2 linked regions of the Arabidopsis thaliana genome follow. The protein of the gene in region 2 purifies or fractionates together with the protein of the main gene of each other region. This does not show direct contact. Each region holds a gene or a part of one and is shown on either strand. Other genes may lie near its edges. The genes, in order: AT4G39280 and AT1G72550.

Region 1 (16,541 bases), on a different chromosome or scaffold from region 2:
AACAATAATTCGCAATTGACAGGGTTACGAGAAAAATCGACCGGTGAATCCTCTTTTATTCTCGATGGTTTTGATTTACTGCAGCCTCATGTTTCTCATCCTGCATAAACAAATTATGAATCAGATTGGTGTCTTTGGCTTGGATTGTTTTGTATTCTTAATTATAGCAGAATGTGTCTTTTTTAGGACAATACATACCTTTTTTCCTCCTGACTAAGCCTGCCATTAGTGCAGCCTCCACTAGTCCTGTAGTTTGGGAATGGAACATGACCGTTCTCTATGCTGTTGATGTCTTGCACTAAGAGTTCGTAGTGTCTCTTTACCTCCTCTGTTGTTTTTCCACCCACGACTTTGGCAACATTTTGCCAACGGTTAGGAGTGTCCTGGTCATAGGTTGCTAGAGCCTGCTCAAAGGCTTTGTTCTGCTTAGCAGTCCACGAGCCAGAGCTCTGAGAAGACATTGAGCTTGATGCCATGTTGAGTTATAGACTAATATAACTGGTTAGAAAGAGATTATTTAAGTATGGGGAGATTACGAGTCAAGAGGATGATATGTGCATAGATGTTGCAGAATGCTTCCTATTTATAAGGTGAGTTTCGGTGGTGCCAGATGTAGCAAATATCTTGCAAAAACGAAGAGAATTTTAAGTCATTGTCTCCATAGTAATCGACTAATGAGCAAAAAGAGAATATCAGCAAGTATTGTGGAGATCAGTATATGATACTTGGCAGAAATATTTCTTCTGTGTTTTTTACTGCTGTGATTACTTTCATGTCTTCTTGATTGAGTTAGAGACGTGTTACCGTCAGAGCAGGTTTTCTCATTCAATTCTAGATTTAAGTCTTCATCTACTTTGGGAAACTCTGGCCTAACGTTATCTCTGATATACATTGACTACAACAGTAAAAATTTGCAAATACATTGGATCTCATTGACTATCATTGTTTCTGATATTAACTAGGTGGAACTTTTCAAGGGTTCACCATGAGCCATATAGCTTCTCTTTAACTAAAGTCCTTGCAGGAAAGTTGGAGATCAAACTTTATTGTTGATTGGACCTCAGGGATACTCTGTCTTGAACATCATATCAAGATACAGAAGTCTCTTTGAAGTTTGGCAACGTTGCTTTTCTTGGTCATCTATATTATTATTTGCATTTTGGTCTTAGATGTCATACTAAATAAATGGTCACTACTTACTTCAATAACTAACATGGTATGATTCATGCGCATTAATTCTTTAACATGCTTACGAGATTTAGTCTATCTTGTGGATGTGCACCAATTTGTGGCCTTGCGAGATATTTCCATTTGTGGAATTGTGGTACAAGTTTTAGGTTTTAAGATATTGATGTTCTGAGAACTCAAGAGACTGCCATGGTTTTGGGATAAACTACTTTACAAGAAAGAAAAGTTCAAACAAGACAAAAGAATCTTAATCATGAGACTGATGGCTCAATATATTCTAGAGGTATAGTTGCTAGTTGCTACGGGATTCTACAAGTAGGCATTTCACGATATATATTCTCATCATTGTTTCCTTCTTACCTAGGTGTTAAAATGGTAAAAAATATACATTTCACTTTCAGCGTCTTGTAATCTCTTGAGCTGTGAGATAATAGTTTATGTCAGAAACATCAGAATTGGTTGTTATGCAATATGGATTCGCTGCATCTTTACTTTTGTGACATGAAAAGTTACATAGGGTAAGATTTGGTGGATTTGATTCCATATCTCCATCTTCAAGTTGCATTTCCTATAGTGAAGGTACCGGCCATTTTATGAAACACGTTGCTTAGCTGGTGATGATTGGTGTAAATTGCCACTGTAGCTTTACAAGAATATGTGGGGAAAAGAAAGGAAAGGGTAAGCATTATATTCCTCAACTAGTGGTAGCTCCTTTTGCAACTTGAGGAACTAAATCCTGATGTAATCTTAAGTTCCTTTGTAGACTTAGCTGTTGTAGCTCAATGAAGATGCTTATTTCTATGGGGTTGCTATAGTAGTTCATAATAACTTTGTTAACAAATGCTAAGTTTGTTTTTTTCTTCCAAGCGGTGCAGACTGTTGTTGTCACTTGGAGAGTGAGTAAACAGAGCATTGCTCAACAAGCCTACACATTTTACAAGAGACAAAAGTACACATATTGTAGCATATCCAAAGTCTCATCTATGTGATTTTATTGTTTGTTTAATAGTCATTTTATGGATTAGGATTTACATTTTTGGTTTGAGCTCATTGGGCTACGTTGACGATGATATCCTTTCACGATAAAAAGATGCCGACAAAAAGAAAAGTAACGGAAGGGGAATATTCGATGAATATCTTGTTGTCTATATATTCTCAGTCAAAAATTTAAACAGAAGATACTAGTATTAAATACCCAATGTCCACATTGGATCGGCGCAAAACTGAGTGACGATCATTTTCGATAAAATAGCACTAATTATTGGTAGGTCAAAAGTTAAAGAACTAATCAATTTCAAACTATAGTAATTATTGATAAGAAAATCATTTGAATCCTTTAGCTGCTGTTCGATTAAATACATGTGTCTAACAAGATAAATTATTTGAGGGAAAATCTCGAATCTGGTTAAAAGGAAACGTTATAAATTTAGTAAACAACACGCGAATTAACATTTCGTTCCAGACAAAGAAGACTTAAACGAAACTGTTTCATCAAAAAAGTAAACCAAACGAACGATAACCAAACCAGAAGTGGTGACACAAAACCAAATCTAAACCAAAAACAGAGCAGCAGCACGCAAACAACTCTATCTTTGATTACCAGCCGCCACCACCGCCTCCGTAACTTCCACCATCACCGCCTCCGTAGCCACCTCCCTCACGGCGTCCACCACCACCGTATCCTCGGCCACCACCGCCTCCACCAGATCCGTAACCTCCGCTACGTCTCTCGTAACCACCACCGCCTCCTCCTGAGTATCCGCCGCCACCGCCTCCTGAGTATCCACCACCGCCTCCGCTGCGGTAACCACCACCGCTTCCACCACGGCCTCCTCCGCCACCGCCGCTACCTCTCGACTGAGCCTCGTTCACGGTGATGACACGTCCATCGAGCTCTTTACCGTTCATCTCTTCAATCGCATCCCTCATGGCTTTCTCGTCCTTGAAGGTGACGAATCCGAATCCCCTTGATCTTCCACTCTCGCGGTCGTTAATGATCTGTAAACAAACAAAATCATACACATCAGCAAAAACAATCGTGGAAGGAATATAAAACAAAGCGATGAATATAAAGCAAAAATCGATCGATCTCCGAGCTCATAGAAGCAGGAAGATGAACGTACCGATGGGACAAATTAAGTAACAGTAACAAAGAACGAGAGAGAACATAGTAACAGTAATCGAATCAAGTAACAGAGAAACAGATCGGAATCAGATCCGTCGAGGATCAGAATCATCGGAATCGGCTCGATCCGGGAGACCGATCTCTCGTGTAACAGACCTTAGAATCGATAACGTCGCCGAACTGTGAGAACGTCCTTTGAAGATCTTCATCATTGGTGGCCCAGGCAAGGCCGCCGACAAAGCACCGGTACTCAACTTCAGACATTTTTTTTTGGGGAAAAGAAGAGAAATTAGGGTTTCAAAATGTAAGAGAGAGACTTATGTGATTTGAGGTGATAAGACGCAGCCTTAATTTATAGAACAGGTGTGACGTAATAACTAGGGTTAAACATGTTTTCTAGGGTTTGCTGAAAGATTTGTTTCAACTTACTCTGATTAAGATGTGTGGTTAATTGGGTTAGTGGTTAGGCCCACATCATGTGAGCATTTTCGATAACTAATGATTTTTTCTCCTCGTTTCGAGCAAAAAATATCTTTGTAAGAATATCTTTTATTCCTTAAATGACAATTTTGTCCTTCGTCTCGTCGTCATTATGTCATACAATAGTTGGGTCTGAGTTTCGTTTATTGGGCCTATCTAATTTAATTGGAAAGATTATAACTTCCGGCCCAATGAATCTGACGGCGAAATTAGTAAAACAATAAAATGAAATAATATGCAAAGACTATGACGATAATGTGCTATGGATTTACATATTTGTTTTGTCATTAATTATGACATGCAATAAATTCATATGAAAAGATTCTTATCGCAATAGCATCGTGGACATGTTACAGTCTGTAATATCCAAACTTTAGCATAGACGTTTTTTGTTGTACAAATATTTTGGTATGTTAAGTGATATTCAAATGAAAGCTAGATGTGCAGATATGTGAACATATAAATCTTTCAATGGAATTCAATTTTCAATCATTGAATATTTGGATACACTCGCTCTGTACTTGAAATATTTTGACTGTCTGAATATTATTTTTTTACAGGATTAATTATTTTGTATACCAAAATTAGACGGATGAAGAATGAAGATGTAGTAGTTATACAAAGTCAATTACAAATGGTTCAGTATCTTGATTTCGATTTTTGTGCTGAAAATGCTGACTAAAGCGTGTAGAAGAGCTTTTTCAACAAGAAATAACCTGGCTAAGATTTTTTTAAGAAATCTGATTATTAATATATCGCAGGTAATATGAAAAAGTATCGTCGACTTTTTATAAGAGTGACAACTAAATCATTTTGCTCATAATAAAGCCACAATTATTATTAGTATATTTTGGTCGTTTTAATACGAGGAAAAATAATTGTCATACAAAATTTACAGAAATGGAGTAGCATCGTAGCTCCTAGGAATTCAATTATTTATTTGCAAAACTACTAAAATGGTGGTTATCATATTAAACGTCAGCAGAAACTTTAAGTATTTTTGAAATGATATTAATTTAAGAGTTCGTTAAGCTGTCTTGGGCGGGATCGTTGAGAGTCAAACTCCTCAAACGACGCCGTATTCAGAACTTCACTTTCAATTACTGTATCTGCGTCTCGGTCACGAGATCGAACCATAAATCTTGGGAACGTGCACGTATACAACGAAAGATCCACCTTCTCTCACTTTTTTTATTTTCTTATACTTTCTTCTCTTTTCTTCGAACGGCCGCTGTTCTTGACCAGTCTGAAGCTTTCTCTGTCCAGAACAGTTCTGTAAGAAGAAGTTTTTATCAAATATTATATAAAAATATCTGTTTCGTATTATATCAGACTTTCCATCTTTCTCTCTCTAAATCTAGGACAAAAAAAAACATGGAAGAGTTAGAGAGAGAGAGAGGCAGCAGAAAATGATTGGTAAACAACAATGAATCGTTTTTGATTCTGAAGTGCACAGAGAAAAGTAATTGCCAGAGAAAGTCGCAGAGGTAACAGAGTGAAGAACCTTTTTTAGTATATATCTTTGTTGAATAATCACAAAAAGAAAGTTTCCTTTATTGATCGGATTCGAAGGAAACCCAAAAAAAAAAGAGATTTGATTATTTCCATAAATCGCGAAGCTTTTTTCCAATTGAATCTTAGGCAATGAATGGCTTTAAGTTTTTCGAAGTACTAGTCGTCACCAGGGTTTAGAGAAACCATGGTGGTTCTGAGGAAGACATCCTTGTTGGTCTTCTTCTTATTCCTCCTCTTGTTGTTAGAGTCAACGTTTGAGCAACAGACAAGTTCTCTGAATGAGAAATCGGCGCTTCTGCTGTTAAGGTCTTCTCTTGGGTTACGAAGCAGAGATTGGCCTGTAAAAGGCAATCCTTGTCTGAACTGGAACGGCATCAAATGTGATCAGAATGGTAGAGTAACTAAGATCAACATTTCAGGGTTCAGAAGGACAAGGATTGGGAATCAAAACCCGGAATTCTCAGTTGGTTCTCTCGTCAATCTCACCCGTCTAGCTTCCTTCAACGCCTCAAGGTTCTATCTTCCAGGTCCAATCCCGGCTTTGTTTGGATCGAGTCTGTTGACTTTAGAGGTGTTGGACCTTAGCTCCTGTTCAATCACAGGAACCATCCCTGAAAGTTTGACTCGGTTATCACATCTCAAAGTTCTTGATCTTTCAAAGAATGCGATCAATGGGGATATTCCTCTGTCTCTTACCTCTCTTCAGAATCTATCAATCCTTGATCTTTCCTCAAACTCGGTGTTTGGTTCGATTCCTGCTAATATTGGGGCACTCTCAAAGCTCCAGCGTCTGAATCTTTCGCGTAACACCTTGACTTCTTCAATACCTCCATCACTCGGAGACCTCTCTGTTTTAATTGACCTTGATCTCAGCTTCAACGGAATGTCAGGTTCGGTTCCATCAGATTTGAAAGGGCTAAGGAACTTGCAGACATTGGTAATTGCGGGAAATCGCCTTTCAGGATCCCTACCTCCTGATCTGTTTAGTTTGCTGAGTAAACTTCAGATCATTGACTTCAGAGGCAGTGGTTTCATAGGCGCTTTACCGTCCAGGTTATGGTCGTTACCGGAGCTCAAGTTTCTAGATATTTCTGGAAATCACTTCTCTGACATGCTGCCTAATACCACTGTCAGTTTTGATTCTACTGTCTCCATGCTTAACATATCCGGGAACATGTTTTACGGCAATCTCACACTTTTACTGACAAGGTTCCAAGTTGTTGACCTGTCAGAAAACTATTTTGAAGGTAAAATTCCTGACTTTGTGCCAACCAGAGCTTCATTGAGCAACAATTGTCTTCAGGGCCCAGAGAAGCAGCGGAAGTTGTCGGATTGCACTTTGTTTTATTCAAAAAAGGGCTTAACTTTCAACAATTTCGGACAACATGAAGAGAAGAAGAGTTCTAAAACTTCCTGGTTAAGCCACACGAAAATAGTTATACTTGCTGCAGTTGGAGGGTCTATATTGCTTATGCTCATTCTCATAGTGTTACCAATAACAGTGAGTTTCTGTGTCCGTCGAAGAAACAGATCATCAACAAGTAATCATCCTAGAGGAAGACACAACGGTGTTGGCCCATTACCTCCTGATGAAACACTTCCCTCAAGAGGAGGAGTCTCTATAAACTTTGGGAGTCTTGGATCATCATTTACCTATCAGCAGTTGCTCAATGCCACCAAGGAGTTCAGTGATTCAAACCTGATCAAGAAAGGACAATCTGGGGATCTTTTCAAGGGAGTTCTAGAAAACGGAGTTCAGATCGTTGTGAAAAGAATCAGCTTGGAATCTACAAAGAACAACGAAGCTTATCTAACCGAGTTGGATTTCTTCAGCCGGTTTGCGCATCCGAGAATAATCCCATTCGTAGGGAAGAGCTTAGAGAGCGCAACTCATAAGTTCTTGGTATACAAGTACATGCTGAATAGGGATTTACCAAGCTCATTGTTCTATAAATCCAATTCCCTAGTTGACAACGGATTGAGATCTCTCGATTGGATCACCAGACTGAAAATAGCATTGGGAGTAGCAGAGGGACTTGCTTACCTGCACCATGATTGCTCACCATCCGTCGTCCACAGGTATGAAAAACCATTCCTTTTACTCTTTTTTTACTTTCAAGCCACCATTAGTTCATTACTGATCTTGAGTCTTCCAATGTTCAATAAGGGATATTCAAGCAAGTAGCATTCTCTTGGATGATAAGTTTGAAGTTAGGCTTGGAAGCTTTAGCAAAGCTTGTCATCAAGAAAACAATGGCCGTCCACGGAAAATAGCCCGATTGCTCAGACTATCCCAGTAAGTGCCTCTGATTCATCATATAACCAATTTTGATTTAAACATCTAACAAACAAGCTTGCTACTGTTTCCCTCTTCAGGTCTTCTCAAGAAAGTGTTCCTGGTGAGTTTATCTTCAAATGCATAAAACAAGCTTGCTAATTTCTTAACTATTCTAACAATCCCTAAAATTCCCAGGGTCTGCAGCTACAGCAACATGTGCCTACGATGTGTACTGCTTCGGCAAGATACTTCTGGAGCTTATCACAGGGAAACTCGGAATCAGCTCATGTAAAGAAACCCAATTCAAAAAAATCCTAACCGAGATCATGCCTTACATTTCATCGCAAGAGAAAGAACCCGTAATGAACATTCTAGACCAATCTCTTCTGGTCGACGAAGACCTCTTAGAAGAAGTCTGGGCAATGGCAATCGTCGCTAGATCTTGTCTTAACCCAAAACCAACGAGACGGCCGCTTATGAGACACATAGTACAAGCCTTGGAGAATCCACTGAGAGTTGTGAGAGAAGACAGCAGCGAATCTGAGAGATTCCGTACGACTGGATCTTCGAGAGGATCTTCGAGTAGCGGTCGAATATTTGGTAGTTGGAGACAGAGCGTGTCTGATCCTGTCGCAGCGGGAACAAGTAGCCTTCTGTCTCAGGCGGAGGGTTTAGCGACTGGATCGTCAGCGAGAGGAAGTAGCCGTGGCGCGTCGAGTCGACGGAGTATGAAAGATGTATAGAAAGAAAGACACACACACACACGATCAATATTTATTTTTTGACGTCAATTTTTAATTATTTTTTATGTGTGGTTATGATTTGATCTCTTGTTGATAAAAAATTCCCGTTAATTTATAATATTTTTCGATGATCAAACCAGACCAGTCTTTTGAGTTTTGATATTCTCGGGTAGCAAACTAGCAATTCGTTTTGTATGGGGTGGGAATCGAAATGTTTTATACTTTGGGGCAATTATATAAAAAACGAAAAGTTTCTGTAATGATGTGTGAATGAGGCTAATAAATGGGCTGCTGTTATCTAACCACGTTGCATCTTTGCACTTAATGGGCCTCTTGGCCCAGTTACTTATTTATTTGATCTAAGTTCTTATTCCTTACATCGTAAATACCACCTCACAAACTTTATACCATACAAAACCAAATGCTAAGTGAAAATTAAATTTGACAAGCCAGATTGCAATTAAGAGTATACACATGTTTAAGATGGAATTGTCAAGTCCAATAACCAAAGGTAGAATTGTAAATACCAAGAGATAATCAAATAAAGTATCTTGAATCAAAAAGATAAATCAAAATATCACTCATATTCCAACTCGGCAGATCGGATTCCGTTTAATAAGATCGAGATCCACCTGCGACAAAATAATGACACATGGATTGAATATATATATTTCCAATAGAACAAAGAAATGTTTACACAAAGTTTTCTTGATAAGTGAAGATTTTGTGCATACCTTGTATATACAAAGAAAGACCGTATGTTTTTTCTAGCCTCTCGTCGAAAGCAATATTGAAAATCTCCTAGAGTGAATCCGAGTACTTGATGTTGTATACCTGAACAACCCACGATCTAAGATGAACACTCAATACATAAATTTTACCTTGTATTATACCCACGGCCGAAGATAGTTTGTGGGCTTCTAGAACCGTCGAACGGAGATGGTTTCTCACATAGTTGGGATAATAAATGGCTTGGAATGTGTTCCACAATTGATTGCATCGATAGTTGAGCCGTTACTCACATATGTTGTTTGAAGTCAGAAAGTGGGACCACCGGTCACAGTACATACATATTTTCAGAGTCACCAAATTTCTTTTCTAACGAAAACCACTAAAACCAGCAATTCCGTAAAGCAACAAAAAATACGTCTTTCTTAACATTTAATTCCGATCGGACTTGATATAAAATTTGAAAAATCTATTTTCGTTGGACGGAGGGAATATTACCTAATTATTATATGTACTGCATCTTAATTATTATTATTATTATTATATATATAGCTTTGTTACATAATCTGTGTTATCTAGATTCAATAATTACAAAAACCAAAACATCACGTAACACCAAATTAATTGAGAAAAAAAATATAAATATAGAAAAAAATAAAAAAAATATATTTAAAAAAATCTCAAGTAAATCATATAAAGCAAAAACAATTACGCCAATGTCGTCGTGCACAATGATGAGTTCACCGCAAATATCCAGCAGTTACAACGTTGTTAATGTTTAAGGAAATTTGATGTTGAGAGCTGCTTGGACCGTATCTCAATACTTATGTATGTGACAATAGATTGGTACCAATGGACATTAGCTACACTAGATTCTATTGGGCCACATTGGCCCATTCCAAACATACGTTTTCTCCCACATGTTAGGTGCTGTTGCGATTGATTCTAAAAATATATGCCATTGGCACAAGTATAGACTATGCATCCTAAATATGTATGCCATTAGTACAAGTACAAACTTTATACCGTACAAAACCAAATGCTAAATGAATATTAAAATTCGACAAGCCAGATTGCAATTAAGAGTGTACACACGTTTAAGATGGAATTGTAAAGTCCAGTAACCAAAGGTAGAATTGAAAATACCAAGAGATAACCAAATAGAGTATCTTGAATCAAAAAGACAATCAAAATATATCACTTAGATTCCAATTCGGCAGATCGGATTCCGTTTAATAAGATCGAGATCCACCTGGGACAGAATAATGACACATTGATTGAGTATATACATCAACAGAACAAGGAAATGTTTATAGAAAGATATCAGAATAAATTAATATCTTTGTGCTTACCTTGTGTCCAAACAAATCTCGGATGTTGTCGATACCGTATAATATCATTGTTGGTCTGTTTAACGAACAAAAAGCAAGAAAGAATCAGCAACGACCCTGAGATGTTGAAGGGAATTAAAAACTCGTACCTTTCAAGAGAGAGACCCCAAGCGATGACTCTAACATCCTCGGGGAGACCCATCGGTAGAAGCATTTCGGGTCTGAACATCCCAGAGTTTCCAATCTCCACCCACTTCCCTAAACCTTCATGGTAGCTGACATCCAGGAACAGGCAAAGTTTAACTTTTTCTCTCTATTCTTACGCAATTTAGATGACTATATTTTTTTACCAATTACCTGAAAATCTCCATGCTTGGCTCTGTGTAAGGGTTGTAAGCTGGCTTGAAACGCAATTTCGACATCCCTGAAAAGTATGATCCCGTAAAGAGTTAGTATTTCTCTCTTGAGCCTAAGCGAACCAAAGTTAAGATTCAATAGCGAAGAGTTTACCTAAGCGTGAGAAGAAGTCTTCTAATACACCAATCAGGTCTCCAAGTGTAAGGCCCCGATCACATATCAAACCTGATCCAAACATGAGATCATTTAACCGATTATGAATAAAGTTTGACAGAAGATTATGCTAACTTTAATATAACTCCCCACAGTGACAACTCTGACCATTAGAACTATACCTTCAATTTGATGGAACTCTGCAAGGTGGGTCCGATCAACAGCCTCGTTTCTGAAGACACGGTCAATCGAAAAGTACTTCTTGGGCACAAAAGGTTTCTACAGTAAGATATAAATCTAATTATACTACTGAATTTTGGAAACCAACGTCTCAAAACCTGTAAGCTAAAGTCTAGTTGAACCTGTGCTAGTGCATAAAGCATCCTAGATGAGACAGCCGTTGTGTGGGTACGAAGAAGATTCTTGTTTGCTTCTTCTCTTTTCCAATCATAATTATACCTTTATTGCAAAAGGCCATGTCAGAGTGATTGCAAATTAATTATTATTTATTCAAGGTGGTAAGAAGATACAAGTCAATTACCCTCTTGATCCATAACCACCAGACTCATGAACACGTTTCACCCTCTCAACATAATCTTCCGGAAGTGTTCTTGTAGTAGAGGGAACTACATTCAAAGATTTACGTCTTAAATGTAAGAGTTATCTATTCTTTGAGATGTCAACAAGCAACCTAGAAATAGCTGTCCTAAACAACAAATTTAGTGACAAAGGATTCAAGATTTGAACCTTTTAGAAAGAAGGTGTCATGAGAATCACGAGCAGGGTGCTGCTGAGGCTGGAACAAAGCATCAAAATTCCAGAAGCTGTAGCGTATATGAATCAGATTAAGATCAGCCAACAAATAGCAAGAAAAGGATGTATAATTAGATATCCTTAAAGCCTCCATGGAAAGCTGAAAACCAAGATTCTTAATAACTAGAGGATACCTGCTCTCCACATAGTTGTTTGTTGGCATCTCCTCAAACCTATGACCACATAAGGCTCACCATTAATTTTAGCAATCAACAGAAAAATGGGGAATTACAATATATGTGAAGAGTTTCTCTCACCCCATCTGAACAAATATGTCTTTAAACTGCTTCCGCACCTAAGGTACAAGAAAAGTAATATAAATAAAAACTATAGAGGTTTGATAAAGAAACAACAAGCTTACACTAAAGGGATACGACAAGTTCATTTTTTGTGTCATGTTACCTTGAGAAGAGCGTGAAGATGCCCAGCGTCAACAGGCGCTCCTTTAGCTTTGAAGTTATACTCCTTAAACTCTAACTCTTTCCAGCTGCAAATATACCAAATTCCTCTCTTAATTGCATATTCAACCTACAATAGCATTAAGAAGTTGAAAAAAAATGCAAGGAATAGGACAAACTTTTGAAGATTTTCTCGAGTCAAATCGGTAGCCACTTTCTTTCTCTCGGGAGCATAATTAGGACCTTTCTTTACGGAATACCCCTTCCATATCCTGAGAAGTAGTAAAGATATCAGCTATTGATAATGATGTCTCTCAATAGGAACGAAACATAAAAGAAAAGTAGAATCAATTACTGTGGTACTATGAGTTTTCTGGCTTTAAGAGAATTGATACTTTCTTTGTCAAATTCCTGAAGGGGAAGAGAGAGTGATGCTCCAAATTAATATGAATCATTAAGGTAAATACAACAGAGGAACTCTCTACTGAAATAACATAGCACAAACCTTCCCTTGTTGTATTTGTAAAAGCTGGCCTTTCACTTTATCTTCTACATCTTTAACCTACAAAAAAATGGTTCAGATTGATGCAGACTAAACAATTGAAATGATTCATACACTACCAAACATCATCCAAAAACGGAGGTAGCAAACAGAAAGTAAAAACAATCTAGCGTTACCTTCCTCGAGACTTGCTTTCCCATTTCCACCCACTTGTTTTTTCCAGCTTGAGAACAGCCGATCTTGAAGACTGCAGGAGCTAACTTTTTCTGAAATAGCACGAATTTTACAGTAGTTGTTTTAGCATATGACTAAACAAATCCCACACTATATACATCTACATATCCATTGCAATCAATAACCTGGAGCTCATCTTTTGATATGCTGCCTTCTTCAGGAACAGCTAAGAAAAGTTGAACCTCTGGTGACCCTTCTGCCGCATATTTCTTCCCTTCATCAGTCAGAATCCATGTCTCCTTTTTAATGTCCTGCAGAGAATAGTCAACCCATGTGACTGACAATGCAAATCTAGTCCACTAAACCTTGTTAATGATAGAGACTTATGGCAAACTGTGAGATTCATCAGTGGCATTCATGGAAAAGTACAAAACTTTCAACCAGATATCAAAACGTCTTACTCTAACACCCTAGACCAATAATCCAAACCCTTTTATCGAAATTCCAGCACGAGTACCTGAACATCGATGTAACGAAAACCATGGAGACTTTTGATGACATTGACGAGTTCGTTGTGGTCGATGTTGAACTCGGCAGAGAATTGACCCGAATCAGTGATCTGTTCATTGTTCTGAAGGAACCCTAGTATCGCCTCTTCCGCCATAAGTAATCTCTTGAAGTGTTTTTTTTTTTTTTTAATCGAAAGAGCTTTGCCCTACTCTTCTATCTCCTCCGGTCAAAAACAGAGAGTGAGTAACGCCGCAGAATAGTATTTGCATTAAATTGGTTTTTAAGGGTTTGACTTTAGAGTGCGTTTTTAATAGTCTCCAATTACTTTTGAAATTGCAACATAGACCCAAATACTTTTAAAAGAAAAATGAAAGCTAAAAATTTTTTCACTATAGTAAAATATGTAAGTTATGGGAGGAAAGCAAACTCCAAACGAGTTAATGAACAAATAAAACCAAATAATAGTCCTTCTTGCACATATCAGTGAATGATCAACTAATTAAACACATGTCTGATAAGCCATTGCATCAAACATCAGGAGCAAGAGCACGCACTAATTGATTTTTCTCATCGGTTATAAAGACAACGTCAGACCACTTAAGCAACCCCCAAATCTCTCCTTGATGTTTTTTTTCAATAACAACTTCTTCACACCAGATTAGTTTCTTCTTAATAGTCACGCACTCCTCCCACAAAAGAACTATGTTTCCTCCATAATTCACCATTTTAACACCTTCACCACGAGGATTCATAATCGACCTGCGCACGAATCCTTTCAAATTTTTCCATATTTTTCTACATGAGTCATACCATTGGAGCATCTCGTAACTATAACGGTAGAACACGTTCTCTATCACACAATTAGAGAAATGAAATCCATGACTTAACGATAAGTGTGGCTCTCTCCATCTACCTTTGTGTATCTCGTAAGTCATGAAAGTTGCACGATTATTTTCTAATGAACTTACGTGGATAGCTTCTTTATACCCTACGATTTTGTAATTAAAACCTCTGCATACCTCTTCGTTAGGAATCTGCAAAAACTCCCATGTTTGGGTCTTCGTATCGAAAACTTCAATCCAATTTGTTGAATCGAGATTCTTGCAGCCTCCTATTACATATATTTTCCCATTAAGGACGCAAGTAGATGGAAAGTCATCACGTGCCACGCGCATGCTTGGAGCCTCACGCCATGTATGAGAACGGCAGTCCATGACCATGACCTTAGACGATGCACTATTATTTAAGTTTCGTCCACCAATAGCATAGATATCAGAACCAACCGCTACAACACCTGATCTGTAGTCAAAAGGAGAATCAAGAGATGATATTGGGACCAAAATTTTGGCGCTGCTACTTATTTTTTGGCGGAGGGTGAAACAAATTTGTCTGTAATCAGTATTCGTACGGAACCGTAAACACACGTAAAGACCACTGCTAGTACAACCTAAGAATGATCTAAGCTCTTGAAGCTCCGTTGAGGCAATGAGAGACCGGAATTTCTTGGAAACGAAGGAAAGGCTAGGGTAATACACTTTGGAAACACGGGCTAAACAGTTTAATACCAAATCATCAGGAAGCATCGAAAACGTCATCTGTGACTCATCTTCCTTCGACATTAACATAATTGTGGGATACGTGAACGAAAGCTTCGTACGTACGTTTTCGCTTCCTCTCGATCTCTAATAATAATCCTAAATCCACTGCCACAAATACAGTATATATGCACAAAAATTAAAACTCGTATCCCTTGGAAAGTGGAAAAAACTAATTTGTATTAAAAAGATTTAATTTACAAACGATATATGACGAAAAAAAAAAGATTTAGTTAACAAATTGTACTGTTACGAATATATAGATTTTATCTAAAACTGATTTACAGGGATGGTAATATTTTATAGTTGACAAAAATAAAAAAAGGATGACATGATAATATTTTCTTATGTTTATTTTTAACGCACAAAAATAAAAACTAGGGAGGGTGTATAATGCATAAATTAAAAGTTAGAGGGCAAATTTGTGCTACTTCTGCAAAACTTAAACGATGCCGTTTGGGTTGTAGGGTTTAGTGCATCCGTGCTCTGTTCACTTGTTCCATTTCGCTGTGTAAGAAAAGAAAAACGAAACTTTCGGTTGTGCGAAATCTTAAGATCAAAGATGGCATCGTTTTGCAGATCAGCGTTAATGGCAGGTTCCAGAAACTTAGTATCAAGATCCAGAACCGTAACTCAAAAGTCCCTCAATCTTAAACCCACAACTACTTCATCTCCTTTCGCTTCAATGTCTCAATCCATCCCTCGCGCTTCGAGGTAACTACTTCACCTTTCAGCTGATTCAAGAAGTTTAACTCATTTTCTCTTATGCTCAACTTTGGAAAAAGGAAATTTAGAGAAAATATTCAGCTCGTTTTAATCAGAAACATTTTATGTGAAGGGTTCTCTCTGCTTTGGGAAGTGTTGAAACGATGATTCCACTTCACAGTGCCGTTGCTTCAGCTCGTCTCCGGTCAAGCATCGCTGCTGATTCCTCTTGTTGGAGCTTGCTTTCTCAGGGTATCTTTTTTCCTCTATTTTTTTGCTGTTTTCTTGCAAATTATCCTTAAATTTGTTGTCTTTTTGGTGGGTTGATTCTGTTTTCTGCTTTATCTGTTGTGCATTTGGAAAGTTTTTGAGAATAAGATTGAAACAGGAGATCAATTTCTTAGTAAGCTTGAATCTCTCTTATGAAATGGGATCACAACTCTTAAAAAGATAGCAAGTATTAGATGATATTCTTGAATAGCAGCATAATTGTGGCAAGAGATTTTTCATTAGTCTACACTCGTTGGATTCAAAGTTTTTTTTTTTAGCTCAAACAATACTGATTAGATGTGAAACTGGATGATATCTGTGAAAGATATGTTTTTTAAGTGTACAAAAGATTGTGGCTTCACTAGATATAGTTTCGACTGGGACAAAGCCTGATAAAGATCAAAACTTTGAAGAAAGGAACTGTTACTTCTCTTATACAATCATGTCTTGTTGAGATATATGTCTAGTTGGTCTTAGATTATTTAGTTGCTCCTTCTGATTTTTCTAAAACTTTGCTTCTTTCTCTGACTTGTGGTTCTTCTACTTAATGCGATAGGACTTGCAACGCCTTTGTGACCCCGGTCTGCTGGATCGATATAAGGCGGAAATAATCAATATATTACAATGAATGAACAAGAATAGTGTTTTTTTTTCTAGTTCGAACTCTATCGTCAA
Region 2 (16,286 bases):
TCTAGCTGTTAGCATCTCCAAAAGCACCACCCCAAAACTGAACACGTCACTCATTGTCGTCAGATTACCTGAAATTCACCAAGAAAACATGTAAGCTAATAATGCACCGGCTTTATGACAAGTAGCCTTATTGTTATGTTCTTTAACCTGCTGAGATGTATTCTGGAGCTGCATATCCTTCTGTGCCCATTACACTTTTGGTAAAGTTTGAGTCTTCTTCCTCTGATCCATCTGTGGCTAAGCCGAAATCTGAAAGCTTAGAGCTGAAGTCCTGAAAGTTTTAGATATTGAGATTTTAAGTTATTTGACATGATAACAGATATATGGAAATGCAAAATAGGCACCGAAGCATTCGAATTACCGAGCTCAAGAGGATGTTGGAAGGCTTAAAATCTCTGTATATGACAGGTTTCTCTTGTTTGTGAAGGAACTCAAGGCCTTTCGCAGCACCTAGAAGAATCTTCACTCTTGTTAACCAAGGCAAGGCTCCACCATACTCTGCATTGCACCAAACAGTACTCATATTGTTAGTAATCTGCATCTCTATAACAATCATTTTTGGACCTTTTGTATGGTTTTGGTCTTTTAACCAACTCACTTTGAAATAAATGGTCTTCCAGATTGCCTCGTTCCATGTACTCGTATACTAGAAGCCTCTCATCATCCTCACAGCAGTATCCGACCAAATTTACCAGATGTGGATGCTTCAACTGACCAAGGATTATAACTTCAGCCTGCAGAATCTCGAAGAAACGTTTACTATTAGTTTTATGGTTCCATTCTTATATAAGCTGCTATATAATTCTTGAAATGTGATTCATTGATATGCAGATGGAGAAGAAATCATTACCAGCCACTCTCTATGGCCTTGTCCACCTTCTCGTTTCAAAGCCTTAACAGCAACAGGCTGATCTTTCAAACCAGTCTTGAGGCTATCATCAACGAAACCTTTGTAGACTTCCCCGAAACCTCCTTCACCGAGGAAATTATACTTTGAGAAGCCTTGTGTGATCGTTTTGAGCTCTTCGTAGGTGAATATGTGAATGTTTATGAAGAAAGAGTTTGAGAAGTCGTTGAGTGAGATGGTTGAATTGCTGAAATCGGACATGTAGACTCTGCTTGGAACAGAGGTTTGTCTGGAGAGAAGAAGAAGTTTTTCCTTTGGTGGGTTTGTTGTTGTAGTCTTCTTCTGGTTTGTGTTATTGATGCAGCTTATGGGAAGACATATATTCTTCCAAGAAAATCTCATTGGTTTCATCTGAAACTGAAAGAATCTCTCTGTGTTTGTTTTCTTTCACAAGATTTTGTCTATATTTGATTAATGGTTTTTATTTTATTTTTCTGAATGAATGAACATATAGAGATTATATATGGAAACTTCTTTGAAAAAAGGGTTAGTGAGAAATTGGAGAGAGAGAGAAAGAGAGAGGTGATAGATTGGTGAAGACTCCAAAAAGTAAGTCTGCAGTCTTATAAAGCCATCAAAGATGGCATTTGCCACTAAGCATATAATCAAATGAAAAATGTTTTGGTTAGTTATAATATAGTTTCGTAATAATTTCTAAGAAGAAGATAGGTAAAATGTGTTATTATAACGTGAACTAGACAATTCCAGATACATATTTGGATCTATTAGAAAAATCTTTGACTATCTCAAGCCATCTCATACTTTTTTGCTTACTGTACTATATCATACACTTGTAAGTTGTTAATGAATTGGTTATATATATAGCATATATTCATTTTCTTCTAGAAGACATGGTTGCTTCTGCTAAATATATTATGTTAGTTCTGTCAAAAATAATATTAATCAAGAGGTTGGATTAATTTAACAAACAAAATAATAAAGAGGTTAGATTATTTTTTTCTCTTTGTGAAGTTAGAATGTGATCCCAATACCTTTGGCCACACCATTGACTTGAGACAACGGTATCCTTTGTTTTCTTCGTTAGGCTGAGTTGTTAAAAGAAAATACAACTTTTAATATATAAAACTCAGTCAATTATATTTTATTTTTTCTCCTACAATTGTGATTAAAGAAAAAGAAATTGTAATTAGTATATTCACAATTTGTAGAAATTTCATCTGATATTGATCTACCATTTTTGTTTAAATTGTTTTGGAGATTAAAATAATTCAAGGTTTTTTTCATTTAGTTGAGAATTCCACTAATTTTGTATAATGAAATTATAATTCCACTAAATCTTCTCGTGGCGAGTCACAAAAAAGACATGTTGCATGCGCAAGAAAATTTAGTTCGAATTTGTTTTGTATTATTTGTTTTGAATAAATTCTACGTGGTAGCCGTATGACGGTATGAGATGGTGCACACATAGTTTTTCAATAAAATAGTAGTTAAATACGAAGAGAAGGGAGATTTTCGATTATCGTTAAGGTCAATTTGTTCATTATCATCAATTTTACTTTTCAACATTTTAAAGTATTTTGAGAGCGACATGGCAACAAACTTTCTTGCCAAATATTTTAACCTCAATTGACAAATTCGTTTGTCTATTTTTTATTTAAAATCTTAACGTAGTCTCTCCTTTTTCTTTAATCCCATAAAAATAGTATCGAAGAGCTTTTTTTTTGAGGAATCTGATTTTAAGGAGATTTGAAAGCTCTATATTAAAAGTTACGTAGCTTTTCATTATATTTTATTGGCAAAAAGTTTGGCAATCGTTAATAGTTTAACGAGAAAGTGATACATCCTATAGTGATGATCTAAGTCGGCTCAAACAAACTCGCCTGCGGTAAGAAGGGATGAAGGGGGTCACATGACCCCTATAATTTTTATATATTAGTTATTTTTAATGTAATTTGATTGAATTTGAGAAAATATTTGGTTAAAATTAGTGTTTGACCCCTATAAAATTTTGTTCTAACTTCCAAATGACCCCTTTAGTTCATATAATTTGGGATATTGAGGATTGAGTCTCTCATTGCTGAATTTGCATTTACGTAGAAGTTTCGAGTCAAAATTGTTGTACATGTGACCACTTTTGACTGTTAGATTCCGATTTAGATATATACTTGCGAGTTTTTTTTACTAACTTTCTGCCAAAAGACATGCTCATCTCCGGATTAGTGGGATTGTCCTTCTAATATATAAGAAAATGGGCTAAAACAAAGATGTGTTAGTACAGTCCAGTGACACAATTAGCACGTGGTGATGTGAAGTAGAAAGACAATTCTCCAAATTTTCACATTTTTAGTCAGTTAAATCTTTGTATCAGATTAGCATTATACGTACTCAGATATTCATCAACTTCTTCTAGAGAATAGCCAACTATGTTATTTTAATTGTTGTTGTTTTATCCAATGATGCAAAATATAGTTGAAATTGAACCGAACTGATAACTTGGTTGGTTTAACTAATTTTGACTTGGAATATCAAGTTGCACTAGACTTCATCATTACAGAAATATATTTTGAATTTGAATGAGAATAATATGAATGAGATCAATGCATTCAATTCAATCAAATCGGCTTAGTGGTGATAGAAAGTTTAAAAAACGAAGGAATGGATGAAAATATATCATATAAAGTGTATTAGAATTTGAATTAATGTAAAAAAACTTTTGACTTCTAGCTAGTTTTCCTTTTCTTACCATACGAAAGAACCAAATGAAGAAAAATTTGTTTATAAAAAGATCAAGAAACGAAAAAAGAGAGAAATGTAATCATGATTTCAGGTGTTTTCAATATATATATATAAAAGAATTTTGGATCCGAATTTTGAGTATATTTGAAAAAAGGAACATACATAAAGATATAAAAATTGTGGCAGCCGCGGAGTGTGGCATCATCAGAGGTTGCTTTTGACCTTGGTCCATTTCTCATCGATATTTTATTAGGGTCAAGATAATTAATTAATCACGTGTATTATGATGTACTTTGCTTGAATATATAATAAACACTATAATCGAAAGAATGAAACTCGTTAAGTTCCTAAAAATAAACCAGTCGTTGAGTCCCTTTCTGGTTTACACATATATCCTCATACACACACATACAAGTGCGGAGTGCCACAATAGTCTTCTACGCCTCATTTTCATTATTCAACGTCACTTTAAAATCAAACTACTTCAAAGTTCATAAAATAGAACAACTAGAAAGACTTGAGGATTTAAAAGGATAGGCCACTTTTGTAGGGTTTAGAGTTATAAATTTAAGGTTTATTGAGAAAACTTAGGATTTAGAGTTTGTTTAGTGTTTAGATTCGTTCTTAGTTTCTAAGAATCTAGATTATTTGGCTATAAAAATTAGGCATGTTATCCCTTGTAAAAAAAAATTTGCTGTCAGTTAAGAAACTAAACAAATTCTAAATGAAAATTACAATCGAATTGAAAATAAAAGCTGGATCTTACAAATGGGGTAAAAAACAGCAGAGCAGTTAAATATTTGTAGTAATTCTCTCGACATGCGTGTTCTAGATCCTCTAACCAAACAAAATCAACAACTTCAAATAATCCAGATAACGATATTGCACAAAGAGAAGAAAACATTTTGGTTGGTTTCTTTTTCTATAAGATAGCTTCGATGTCTAACTCCAAGTAAGAGCATGGATCAGGGATGTCAAAGTTGTTCAAAACCTGATGGAAACAAAAGAAAAGAAAAACGATTTGAAAAATTATTGCAGCTATTTGGATCAAGCAAGGAGACTTAAATGAGTGATACCTCAGGATGCACGATTCCAAAGTTACCAATATGTTTCCCTCTGACAATGATGCTAGCTTGCCTGCCCGGTAGAAACTCGGGTTCCTTTTGCAGAACGCAAAAGAGAGATAGATTAGGATCTTGAGTTAGTCGATAATGAAAAATCTTAAGATGCTTGCAGATCGAAAGGAGAGCTTACTTGGGAGAGCTTTACATAGTATCCGTCTTTTTCATTGATTGGTACGTTATTTTCATGGATTGTTAGAAATGGTATTGCCATCACTTCCATGATCCTATCGACCAGGCCATGGATAAGCTGAATCAAGAATTATACAGAGAAAGCATATCAATTGATGAAGTTGCGCAAACTTGAGAAAATAAGTTACATAACGACGATATCATAGTTAGCAAATGAAATCCATACCTCAAATCCAGAAGTAGCACCACAGTATAGTGCAGCGAGATGGCGACGATTGGATGCACCAACGTCTTTGCTCTCATCCAACATGACCACATCACTGATTTCAAAAATCTTTAACAGAAAGAAAAAGATTTATCATTCACGGGACACTAAAATCTCAAATCTAGCTAACGGCACCAGAGATATGGGTTTACCTTAATTGGTTTAGGGTATTTATTGTTGTGACCAACTGTCTTCAATAATCCGGGCATGAGAGCCCTCCTCATGGCCTATTTCAACATATAATGAAACAATTAGCAAAGCATTACCATTGGAAAAGTTTACAAAGAGATGACCAAATTATTTGAAAGGAACCTCAAAATCAGCAGACCGCGGGTTCCCAACTATGACGGCTGAATTAACATCCTCTCTATTTAGCATCGCAAAGTTTTCCTTATGTGAGCATAGTAGCCACGTTACCACCTCCGTGTACACACACATCGCAATCTAAATTCAAAATATAAAATAGATAATTTCCCTGAGAAACAAATGCTTAAAAGTAATTTAACAAGAAACACAGACACAGATCTCTGTGAGCTGATGCAACAGTTAAATGGAAGTGCAAATACCTCTATTCTTAGAAGATCAGTGAGCTCATTCAAAGTCAGTGGTTTTATCGAAGCAGGCTTTCTTGTTGGAATGTTATTGAAACCATAGGCAATGGCAACATCCTGGTGAAATACAAGCAAAATGATTAGTTATATGGAGAATCATCATAATGGCATTATGTCACCAACACAGAAGGGTTTTAGCTATGAAAATATACCTCCATAACATCACAAGGGTGGAGAACGTCGCTCCTGCTGGGGGGTACATGTACTTTGATGGCACACTGGTTATCACTAGATTTTGCTTGCTCAGCTTGCAGCTGCATTCGGGTCAGCAGACTTGTAACCTGAAAGGTACAAAATCCATTTCACATAACAAATGATTAAAATCATTGCACAGTAGCCTCTAAAATCGACATCTCAAATAAGAAAATGAGGCTGGTTCAACCATTACAAATTGACAACAGTGATGTCTTTATTACCTGTTCCACCTTTAAAGAGACTCCAATTGAGTCTGTAATGAAAGAGAGAGGAACTTCCATATCATAGACAGCTAAATCCGGATAGATGTATGACTTTCCATCGTCGTATGTAACTTCAACAGGCTCAATCTCAAATTTTCTGGCACAAAATTCTGAGAAGGTTGTAACCTGGAAAACGTTAAATGATTAGTTAGCTATTGATCAGTTAGCACTGTAGGTTTGATTTGTTAACAACATACCATTGTATTCAAAACAATCTTGGCCTTCGTCAAATCAGTTGCAGTACATTCAATGAAGACATTCTTTGTCTGTAAGGTAATTGCTGAATGTGCACCATTGATAATAGGTGGCAATGACAGCACAGTTCTGCAAAAGTGAGCTTTCATTATGTTTCAGTACGTAATTCATTTATAGTAGGAAAATTATTGATTGGTTTATGAAAGTATTTATCATAGATTGATAGACATCTTTACTTCTTCACCCTAGAGGTAAAATGAACAGAAGTAGGAAGAACAAATACCTCTTACTGTCGTATAAAACAGGGAAGACGGGTGAATTCTCGATTATGTGTAGAAACTTTTTCAGCTTCATATCAGACTGCAAACAAAAGTAATCTTTCACACATCAAGGAAAAGCCTTCGGAAAGCCTAAGTAGTTATTCAGCGAGTAAACAATTATTTCATCTCATTCTATACATATCCATAAGTTCGGGGATATCTTTCGTTGATTATTTGCTCCAAAGAAGTTACGATTTCACAAGAGTAACAAATGTCATAACACAATACGAGAAAGTAACAGATTAACTGTTTACCTTGTAGAATTCAATAAGTTCGTCAGCCCTGAAGCTCTTTGTCTGCGACCAAGAAATTGGTATTAGGTACAAACATGAAACAAACTAGATTGTCACTACGAAGAAGTGAGAAATTGTACCAGAAATTAAAAAAAAAGAACATGCTATAACCAAATAACCATTACATTAAAAATCATTTATCTATATAACCGAGGAGAAAGAATGATTCAGAATTTAAACAAAGAAACACAGGCACATGTAACTATTTTGAACAGAGATACTAGTTGATGAACCCATAATGACATTGACTTACTTGCTTCAAAGGTACAAAATTTATATCCGTTGGCGGCAAAGCCTGAAAAATAATATACATAGAGTTAATGAGACACGAAAAAAGCTCAACTAAACAAAAGTGTCAACATAAATCAAAGGAAACAGATTGTATGAAAGTTGGATCAGTATTCTACTTCTTCGAGAGGTAGAGGAAGACTGTAGACACGAAAAAAGAAGAGGAAAGATAATAACAGACAATCACCTCGTATGTGAAAGGACCCTGCAATGTATCAAGGTCATGAGTTCCAATAGCAACCAAGGACCTTCGCCTGAAATGTGTACAGCGTAGCAAAGTTAAATAAATGGAAACCAATTTTTAATCCCAAAATGCAAGCCAACACAATGATGGTAGCTAATAATTGAAATAATACAAGAGAGAAGAAATGGATCCTATAACTAGCAATGTCATTTACCTGCAAATATTCTGATGTAACTTATCCTGAAGATCAATGAAGCTGTTGTAACGAGCCTCGTCAAAGGTTACACCTCTTAAAACAGCACATACAACAAATGGACGAATCTTCGATGTCTACAAAAGGAGAAAAGTTTCAATAAAGAAGGAACCAAATCAGAAGATACTTGCTATGACAGAAACACACACACCTCAGGTTTAACATTCATTTGAAGGATCTTGTCTTTGCTAATGTCAGCAAGAGTATACGTTGGTATCTCCTGTTTCTCGATGAAAACGCGAAGAGATTGAGCAAGCCCTTCGAGGCAAAGCAAATCAGGTCTGCAATTAGAGATATAAACAAAATACCGAATCAATTTCCTAATACTTAAACAATTCCTTAATCTAGAAGAAGAAAAGTCACAGTTTATAAACCTGTTGGCAGGAATTTCAATCTTGTAGATGATTTCTTCATCATCATCAGCTTCTTCATCGATGTGCTTCTCTTTTCTGATTATTGCCTTTTCAGTAGTCTGTTTCATTGATATACGATGCAAAACCTTAATCAGGATTTGAAAAAAGAATCAAATCACAAAAGCAGATCAAAATGAAGTCACTCACCACATCGTCAAGCTCGATACCGAAACTGAAACACAGTTCCTCGAATTTTTCCTGAGCTGCATTACAAAGAGGATAAGACGAAATTAGAAAACACACACTATGAAATCAGAGAAAGAAAGAAGAAGGAGAAGAAGAAATTGAATTACTATAGGATTCTCCAAGAGCAGCGAACAAACGGTCTCTGCCAACACTGATGGTTGGCATATTCTCAGATTCTTCGTGAAATTAGCAGAAAGACAGAGATAGAGAGATGACGTCTTCTTCTTCTGAGTGTGTGTGCAGATTTTGGAACTAGGGTTTCAAGAAGAAGTAGATGACGATTTTTCACCGTTACAATATATAAATATAACCCTCTTTTATTTTTTAAGGGTTATTGTTGATTTTGCTATTTTTCATATAAAATTTTGGAAATTGCTATTTTTATTAAAATTTTACGGATATGACACTTTTTAACACTTAAAAACATATAGATTTCAGATTTTTTGGGTAAAAATACGTAGTTTACACAAAATATTAAATTATCTATCAATGCCATCCCGAAATATAACAAATTCATTGTTTCGATCTCTTTTATCTTAGTTTTTTTTAACCTCTTTTTATTTTCTTTGCCACTTCAATTGTCAAAAGAACAATCTGTGTTTGGTGTCTCAAAATAAGTTAGAAAATAAGAGGAGACCTCAATATCGAAAAATAATACAATTTCATATTAATTAAATGAATAAAATAGGAAAACAAAATTCAGCCAAAATTGTTTTGTGTGTCTGTCTTTTATGATCTCTCATAGTTTTTTTCTAAAGTATTTTCATGGACAAAGAAAAACAGAAAACATCGACTGCAGAGAGTTATAAGACCATCAAAACTTGGAGATAGGACCAAAAAAGGAAGGGCTTTATAGACACAATCTCACAACAAAGCGCAATAAGAAATAACAGCTGATCTGCCTCAGAGTGTGTGTGTGCACTGGAACAACTTGTAAGGCCCTTGGTTCGAGTCGGAGAACATGATTATGTGTAAGAAGATACAACTGCAGATTTGAGAAGAACCAACATCAACAACAGTATGAATCTCTCTCAAGCTTTTGATCTAATTTGATCTGGATGGTGAAAGCGAACCTTGTTGCCACCTCTCAAGTAGACATTGACAAATACTATTTACATCTGGAGAAGCCTGTAAAGAGATGAACATTATATTAAGCACATGACTTCAAACCTGTCATGTACAAAAATTGAGGAAGAGAGCTTTCTTGGTAAAACCATTAGAGCTCGTAGCGGAATTGACCTGAGAGACCTTTCTTTCTATGAAACTAGCTGTATTTCGAATGCTATCTGAAAACGTGACTCCCGTTTTGTTGAAGCCGGAGATTTTCTATAAGGGACTGGTAGTATGACTTGAGGCTTCGGATATCATTGCCCTGGAATACCAAACACGGAAAGGAGAGACTATGTTTAAGCACAAGACGAGATAATTTTTTATCTACTTATGGTCGTTTTGAGGGAGTAAAACTTAACAAACCTGCAACTTTTGGCAATACTGCTCCGCCAAATCTTGTGGAATATGTGCTGATGGGAAACTTTTCGACATAAGATGCATGAGAAACGTATTACCAAATTTTTCATACATTACTTTCTGAGCCGTGATGATTTCCCCGAACAATGCGTGCTGCGATGCATAGCGAAGGAAGAAACCCAGTCAGTTGTGGAAACAATTCAGAAGTTTATACAACTGCAACGGACAGATAAAACTCCAAAATGAAAAGAGAATTGAAGTTTCTTAAGCTTACCGTATTTGCATCACTGAAATTGAAGGATTTATCTAGCACACTGTACAAACAACAGTTTGTTGCAAACGCTTCGATCACGAAATTCTGAAAACCTGGAACCTGAAAGCAAAAATAGTTCTTGATTATGACATTTGTCCTTCTTTCATGAAGAAAAGAAGGTTAATAAAAATTATTTAACAAGCCTACCTTCTCCTCGCTATATGGCTCGGCACACCAATCTTTAATAAGCTTTATAAATATCTGCACGCACGCCTATTTTTATGGCAAAGAGTAAAACAAGTGGATAATAAGTAAGCGAAAAAGATCATCAAAATTAAATGAATATGCAACCAAAGGGAAAGTGTTACAAACCTTACGTACGGTAATATCCTTGTGATTACAAGAAGTATTCAAAACCAGCTGCATCATAGGATCTAGATACGCCCTACTTTTCGGCGTAAGAAATACAGAAGAAAGATCGTGTGTGGCTATAACATGAAGAAATGTATACAGCATCCTTTGAAGCTCTATCAGTTCCCTCATTTCCTACACCAAAAAAAAAAGGATATATGACTGGATGTAAAGGATGCTACGATATCAGCAGGTTCTCAAGTTACAATTGCAGATCATAAAATTGAGTTAAGAAAGAAAATCAAACGAAATACCTCAGTAACAGCCCCAGGGCGTGAAGGGAGCCCATCTCTTGGAATTACATTGAAAATCCTAACAGCAACCACGGGATATACTTCTTCCAGTATATCATGGAGAGCGCTGTTGAATTTGCAGATAAGCTGATTGAGTAATACCATGAAACCAACCATTTCCTTTGGCTGCAACAATACACATACACAGTAAGACTTTTTGTTGAAGAAGTAATCAAATTAGTGTGCAGCATCATTGCCCGAAATGACGTATCTTGATTAGTAGATATTACTCCCAGGTAAGTAAGTGAATCGTAGGAGATCAACTTAATATTAATTAAAGGAAATGAAAGCAGTGGAGCATTGAATAATAAGGGGAGGTTTGAAATTTTCGTTTTACCTCACTGTCAGCAAGTAGCTGTTCCAAAGCCTTGGGAAGATAAGGGAACACAGCGGATCCAAGGGTATCAACCATACGGTGTATGAATGATGTGACCTACAGAAAAGGGGAACAAGCTAATCACTGACCTGTGAATCAATAACTTAATGGAAAAGAATATGCAACACTACTGATTACAATATGTCTACTTAATAAAATACAACTAAACTCATACCTTACTCCGCAAAGGCTCGACCTTTGGAAATTCAATTAGCACCCTTAGAAGAACATCCAGTGTCTACATTACGGAGAAGGTTACCAATGGTCAGTAAAGAGTAAATACAGAGCAGTTTCAATTAGGGCAGAGAATTACAGTCAACAACTGAAGTTGCAAAAAGTACAAAAGCATTGAAAGACAGGTTGCAAAGCAATACATGATTCATAAGAGGGAAAAGACCATCTTGTTTACAAACCTGCTTAAACATGAGACCAATTCCAGGACGACTAGCAGTAACAAGACGTTCGTTGAAGCCCTGAATTGCAAGCAAAAGTGTAAGGACAAGCCCAGAAGAGGGTAAAATTTGAAGTACCAAGTAACAAATCTCACGTGCAGAAACTAGAATAAACGAACACAAACCTTGCTGAGCGCATTAATTGCCACAATAGCAAATTGGATATTTGCAATTTTCACAGGAAAGTCTTCGGAACTTGCAACTTTTGCCTGCACAAGTCCTGCCTCAATCTGGTACAATCATATCACATGGAAAGAGTGTGAGTACACCTGACCATAATTATTGCCAAAAAGTTTCATGAACAAGAGAATGGTAGAAACGAAAACCTGTTGACAGAGAGGGGTAAGCAGTAAAGACAAATAATCTGACTGCTTTTCAGCCGGGACATCCTCCAACCCTATGATTATGCCAATAGCCTACAGAAAAACGCATTAGGAGTTGAGAGATTTTTTTTAGAGTACTGAAAAAATTTCCTTTTTTCCAAGCAGAAGTACATATATGAAAACAGCAGCTTCAAGTGGTAGTCAAACCTCAAAAATGTGACTGCCATCTTCAGTTCCAGTAAGTTCTCTTGATGCAAAGTTCATAGTCGTCAACTGGGACAACGTATCTTGAAGGTTCTGATTTTTCATAAAAAGATAGTTAGACAAAAAAATTAAACAAGAAAATACATCGGATATACAAAAATGGATAACTAGCCTTCAGATCAAACGAGCTGTAGATAAGAGAAAATGAAAATCAAACCCTTACCTGCAAGATCTTGTCAATGAATGGTACAAGCTTTGATTTTAACAATTTCACGACTCTCATGAACAAGTAACCAGCTCTACGGCTCACATAGAAATTCTGGTGATGCAAACCCCTATCATCAAGGAAAGCACCAAGAACATTGGGAATGTACTGGGAGTTTTCCTGAATAAACTTCATGTACCTTGTTATGTTTTCTAAGTACACTAGTGCAACAAGTCTATGTGAATGACCAGGGAACTGTGTGGTCAAGAGCATCGGAATTAGTTCACTCAAACACCCAGATCCTGTTTTCATGGCCTCCTCGGTCATAGACTCTCCGAATGAATACAAAAGCGAGAGCGCAGCTTCCACTTCTTCAACATTGCTCTCCGATGAAGATTCAACAGCATTTGCTAGTGAGTTACGAATGAAATGCTGAGTAACTTCAGGAGCAACACGGCCCACTGTACGTAATAAGACAAAGAGATCTTTTCTAAACTCGGACATTCTATCTTCCTCCTCCAATCCAGTTTTATCCAGTGAATTAAGGTTATTACGATACATAGGATCATAGCAAATCTGAATTCTTATCACTTCGAGAATCTGTGTAATGTGGAGCAGCTGCTTCTCCTTCAATGCAGGGAGGCCTTTGAGAGTGGAAACATAACCCAGGAGAAACTGGACGATGCTAAAAGTAGAATCCACCTCACACTTCTGCATGACATAAAAAACTGATGGCAGAACTTCGTTCAGCAAATCCATGGAGACTGCCTTGGTGTCCTCTGAGTTCAAACGCTTATGGCATTCTAGAACCTCAACAGCATAGCCAGTAAGCAAAGCAGATACTTTTGATACCAAATCGGAATCAACATCTCCGGATACTAAACCAAAAACACGACTGATTTGAAGGGTCTGCAAAAGGGGCAGTTTTGACTGGGGATCCATCCGCTTAGAAACCATGGCTAAGACACACCCAGCTGCTGCACCGCGGACTTGTTCAGACAATCCATCAGACAAAATCAATTCAAACAGCAGTGGAACAAATGCATCATTGGCAACCAAACCAATGTCAATCCAAGATACAAATCTTCTCATGCAATCTAACACAGTAGCAGAAAGATCAGGATCGGAATTCTTGTACATCGATACAATGTCATACCATGCTCTGGCTATCTGAGGGACACATTGTTGCCTCATTGCATCCTTGACTCGAGCAGCAACAGATATCTCTTCTGGTGTCCGGGGGTAATCCAAGCTAATCAACTCATCGTCCAAGGCATTCAAAACCCGACAAAACATGTCGATCACAACAGCACCTTTGCACAAATGAAGCATGAAATCAAGAAACACCGAGGACCAAATCAAAGGGTACTCATAATAGATCAAAGTAGCCAAAACCTGTGCAAGCTTGTTTTTAACAAAAGGAGGTCCTTCCACAACTCTACCAGCATTCTCATTATCAATAACCTCCAAACAAGCCATTGAAAACACTGATTTCCTCACATAACTCTGCTCATCCAAGCTCATAGATCCATATTTAACCCTTAAAACATCCTGAAGCGTTTGCAAACACCAGAACTGAACTTGGACAAGCTTAGAAAACCATAACTTCTCAATACATATACTACAAATAGAAGGAGTCTCTTTGATTTGCTGACAATAAGTAACAGCTTGAGACTTTAAAGCCGAATCAACAGCACCAGTTTCAAAGCTAATTACTATTGCCTGTTCAAGGTCATCCATTGTGTTAACTTAACCCCACTACAAAAACCCTAAAAACCGAGATTTCAAAATCCAGTCCTGGTTTGTTGCATACAAGTCAAACAATGCCTTGAATTAGTATCGTCAGCTAGCTTCTCTCCTTCACTGTTCTCTTCCCTTATCAGATTTTGATGCGAAGAAGAAAAAGACGAAACTTTTAGTGGGTTTCGCTTGAGAGCTTACCAGAAAGTAAGGATCGTGGCGATTTTAGCGATCGGATTTATGAGAGTGGGAGATATAGTAGAAAAGGGATTATGGAAACCCTAGTTTGGGTTTCTCTTTGAATTCAAAGAATACTTTTTTTTGGTGAGTTTCTAGAAAATTTCCCTTACGGATTTATAAATATGAGGAAAATTGTGAGACTGGAGAGAAGACGGAGCTGTAGGGTTTTTTTTTTTTTATACACAGATTTTTATTAGCTTGCAGAATATTTTCCCAGAGAACTATAAATATTATTGCCAGCGAATTGAAAATTAACCGTCATCTGAATTCAGTAAATCAGCCCATGGGCTTGAATCTCTCTCACCTTAGGCCTTAGGTGTTGCATACTGATAGATTAAGATAGACATGTATAAATGTTTTGTGAGTTAGCAAATATAATGGTGTTTTTTCACTTTCTTAATCTAATGTTTTATAAAACAAATTGTCACATTAATACATATAACTAAACTACTTACTGTGAAATTATTCATGGAGACAACTTCTGTAGCTAAGACCTCTCGATTTTTATTTTGTATACTACAAACTAGGTAATTGTAAGAAAAGGTTTGTTCTGTAATGGCATTGTCGATTACCTCGTAGAAGAGGTTGGAATATTTCCGATGCCCGTAGCAAGATATAAAATCACAAATTCATTTTTCAGTTGTTAAAGAAAACAATTGTGGCTTTTTGTGTAGAACGACATTTCGTTATGTGGGTGGCGAGTATGGACAAACTACCCACTAAGTCTTGGTTAACAGCTTGGAACACAATTTCATTTTCTATCTATAAGCAACATATGCAATATAATCAACCAAATAAGAGAGATCACTTATTCTTTTGTTCTATCATATTTTGTGTGTCTGTTTTCAAAGGTTATACCGTCACATTATCCGCTTCTCACACTTGAGGCAAATTTTATGAGTTAGATAGCATATTGCCAAACACTCCAGCTATATATATCTTTTATCTTTTAGATTGATCTTTGTCTAATCTGCGAAAACAGCAAGATCATTTCAGGCTTCTCCATCACAGTTAGAATCATTTTCAAACGGATCGATTGAATGAGCAATCAAAAACACATTTTTATCGTCTAAGGAGAAATTTCCTTGCAATACTACTAATTTTAGTACAAATTTTGTTTACTTTTAAATTATGTAATGTTCTTTAAGTTTATTAAAAAATATCCCAAATTATATCGAAAGAAAGACATTAATAAAAGAAATGTATTATTGTCTAATTAACATATTTCGAAAGAAACAAAATACTGACTTTTTTAAGCGCTACTGTGTGCTTTTTTTACGGAAAAGTTAATCAAATACCAAAGAACGAAAATTTTCATTGTAGTGTGTCATGTGTATCTCCCATATATATATACGTATACATCGAAAAGATCCGAGGGAGAGTGGGCACAAAACTCTAGAAGTCAGATGCAAGTGTGTGTGAAAGAGAATGTGAAAGAGTGAGGGAGAGAGAAACTTCCTCTTCCTTTCTTTCATGCTTACGACAAAACTTCACCGCCACCTGTTTTGTCTCAAATCTTTTTTCCACCTTTTTAATTATATAATTTATTAAATGTTTTAGACTTATGAAAAATATTAATGTATATTCGCACGTATGAGACTACAAATCATATAAAACGAAACCCTATACATATAAACTAAGAGCGAGAAAGACAGCTAGAGAGAGAGAGAGAGATGAAGAAATGGTTGGGATTTTCATTGACACCTCCTTTGAGAATCTGCAATAGTGAAGAAGAAGAACTTAGGCATGACGGTTCCGATGGTACTCTCTTCTTCACACATCATCCCCCTGGTATATATATGTTGTTGGTGTGGCCACTATTAATATTCTTAATTTGATTTCTATTTTATGTGTAGTTTGGAGATATGATATTAACTTTGATCATCATCATCATGATGAAGACGTTCCAAAGGTGGAAGATCTCCTCTCAAACTCTCATCAAACCGAGTATCCTATAAACCATAACCAAACCAATGTCAACTGCACCACTGTGGTTAAC

Evidence for each region.
Region 1: the proteins of AT1G72550 (region 2) and AT4G39280 fractionate together in Arabidopsis thaliana (co-fractionation; one large-scale study listed by BioGRID). This does not show direct contact.

What each region holds. Positions count from the first base shown.
Region 1 is NC_003075.7:18,271,382-18,287,922, forward strand, and holds AT4G39280 (phenylalanyl-tRNA synthetase, putative / phenylalanine-tRNA ligase), read right to left. Parts: upstream 13,550-16,541; 5' UTR 13,451-13,549; coding exon 13,304-13,450; intron 13,098-13,303; coding exon 12,972-13,097; intron 12,879-12,971; coding exon 12,789-12,878; intron 12,673-12,788; coding exon 12,616-12,672; intron 12,522-12,615; coding exon 12,466-12,521; intron 12,383-12,465; coding exon 12,290-12,382; intron 12,200-12,289; coding exon 12,115-12,199; intron 12,008-12,114; coding exon 11,970-12,007; intron 11,886-11,969; coding exon 11,847-11,885; intron 11,724-11,846; coding exon 11,647-11,723; intron 11,526-11,646; coding exon 11,441-11,525; intron 11,359-11,440; coding exon 11,262-11,358; intron 11,179-11,261; coding exon 11,082-11,178; intron 10,972-11,081; coding exon 10,900-10,971; intron 10,814-10,899; coding exon 10,747-10,813; intron 10,665-10,746; coding exon 10,539-10,664; intron 10,466-10,538; coding exon 10,411-10,465; intron 10,311-10,410; coding exon of another isoform or gene 10,260-10,310; exon of another isoform or gene 10,037-10,259; intron 8,962-10,036; coding exon 8,911-8,961; and 2 more. Other genes in the region: RL1 (RAD-like 1), read right to left, coding at 76-100, 199-476; CCR1 (cold, circadian rhythm, and RNA binding 1), read right to left, coding at 2,785-3,186, 3,470-3,577; AT4G39270 (Leucine-rich repeat protein kinase family protein), read left to right, coding at 5,493-7,387, 7,476-7,604, 7,685-7,707, 7,782-8,329; AT4G39290 (Galactose oxidase/kelch repeat superfamily protein), read right to left, coding at 13,824-14,921; AT4G39300 (envelope glycoprotein), read left to right, coding at 15,454-15,605, 15,730-15,848, 16,423-16,442.
Region 2 is NC_003070.9:27,315,421-27,331,706, forward strand, and holds AT1G72550 (tRNA synthetase beta subunit family protein), read right to left. Parts: upstream 8,693-16,286; 5' UTR 8,489-8,692; coding exon 8,431-8,488; intron 8,341-8,430; coding exon 8,285-8,340; intron 8,197-8,284; coding exon 8,099-8,196; intron 8,006-8,098; coding exon 7,876-8,005; intron 7,802-7,875; coding exon 7,686-7,801; intron 7,542-7,685; coding exon 7,475-7,541; intron 7,295-7,474; coding exon 7,253-7,294; intron 7,003-7,252; coding exon 6,961-7,002; intron 6,747-6,960; coding exon 6,670-6,746; intron 6,516-6,669; coding exon 6,389-6,515; intron 6,318-6,388; coding exon 6,150-6,317; intron 6,015-6,149; coding exon 5,886-6,014; intron 5,791-5,885; coding exon 5,689-5,790; intron 5,567-5,688; coding exon 5,435-5,566; intron 5,350-5,434; coding exon 5,275-5,349; intron 5,192-5,274; coding exon 5,084-5,191; intron 4,976-5,083; coding exon 4,859-4,975; intron 4,765-4,858; coding exon 4,681-4,764; intron 4,606-4,680; coding exon of another isoform or gene 4,596-4,605; coding exon 4,527-4,595; and 2 more. Other genes in the region: AT1G72540 (Protein kinase superfamily protein), read right to left, coding at 1-68, 148-271, 362-498, 599-734, 851-1,249; AT1G72545 (uncharacterized protein), read left to right, coding at 324-397, 428-526, 832-997; PSD (ARM repeat superfamily protein), read right to left, coding at 9,606-9,695, 9,797-9,943, 10,065-10,163, 10,251-10,316, 10,416-10,589, 10,709-10,873, 11,085-11,180, 11,299-11,361 and 5 more; AT1G72570 (Integrase-type DNA-binding superfamily protein), read left to right, coding at 15,961-16,048, 16,144-16,286.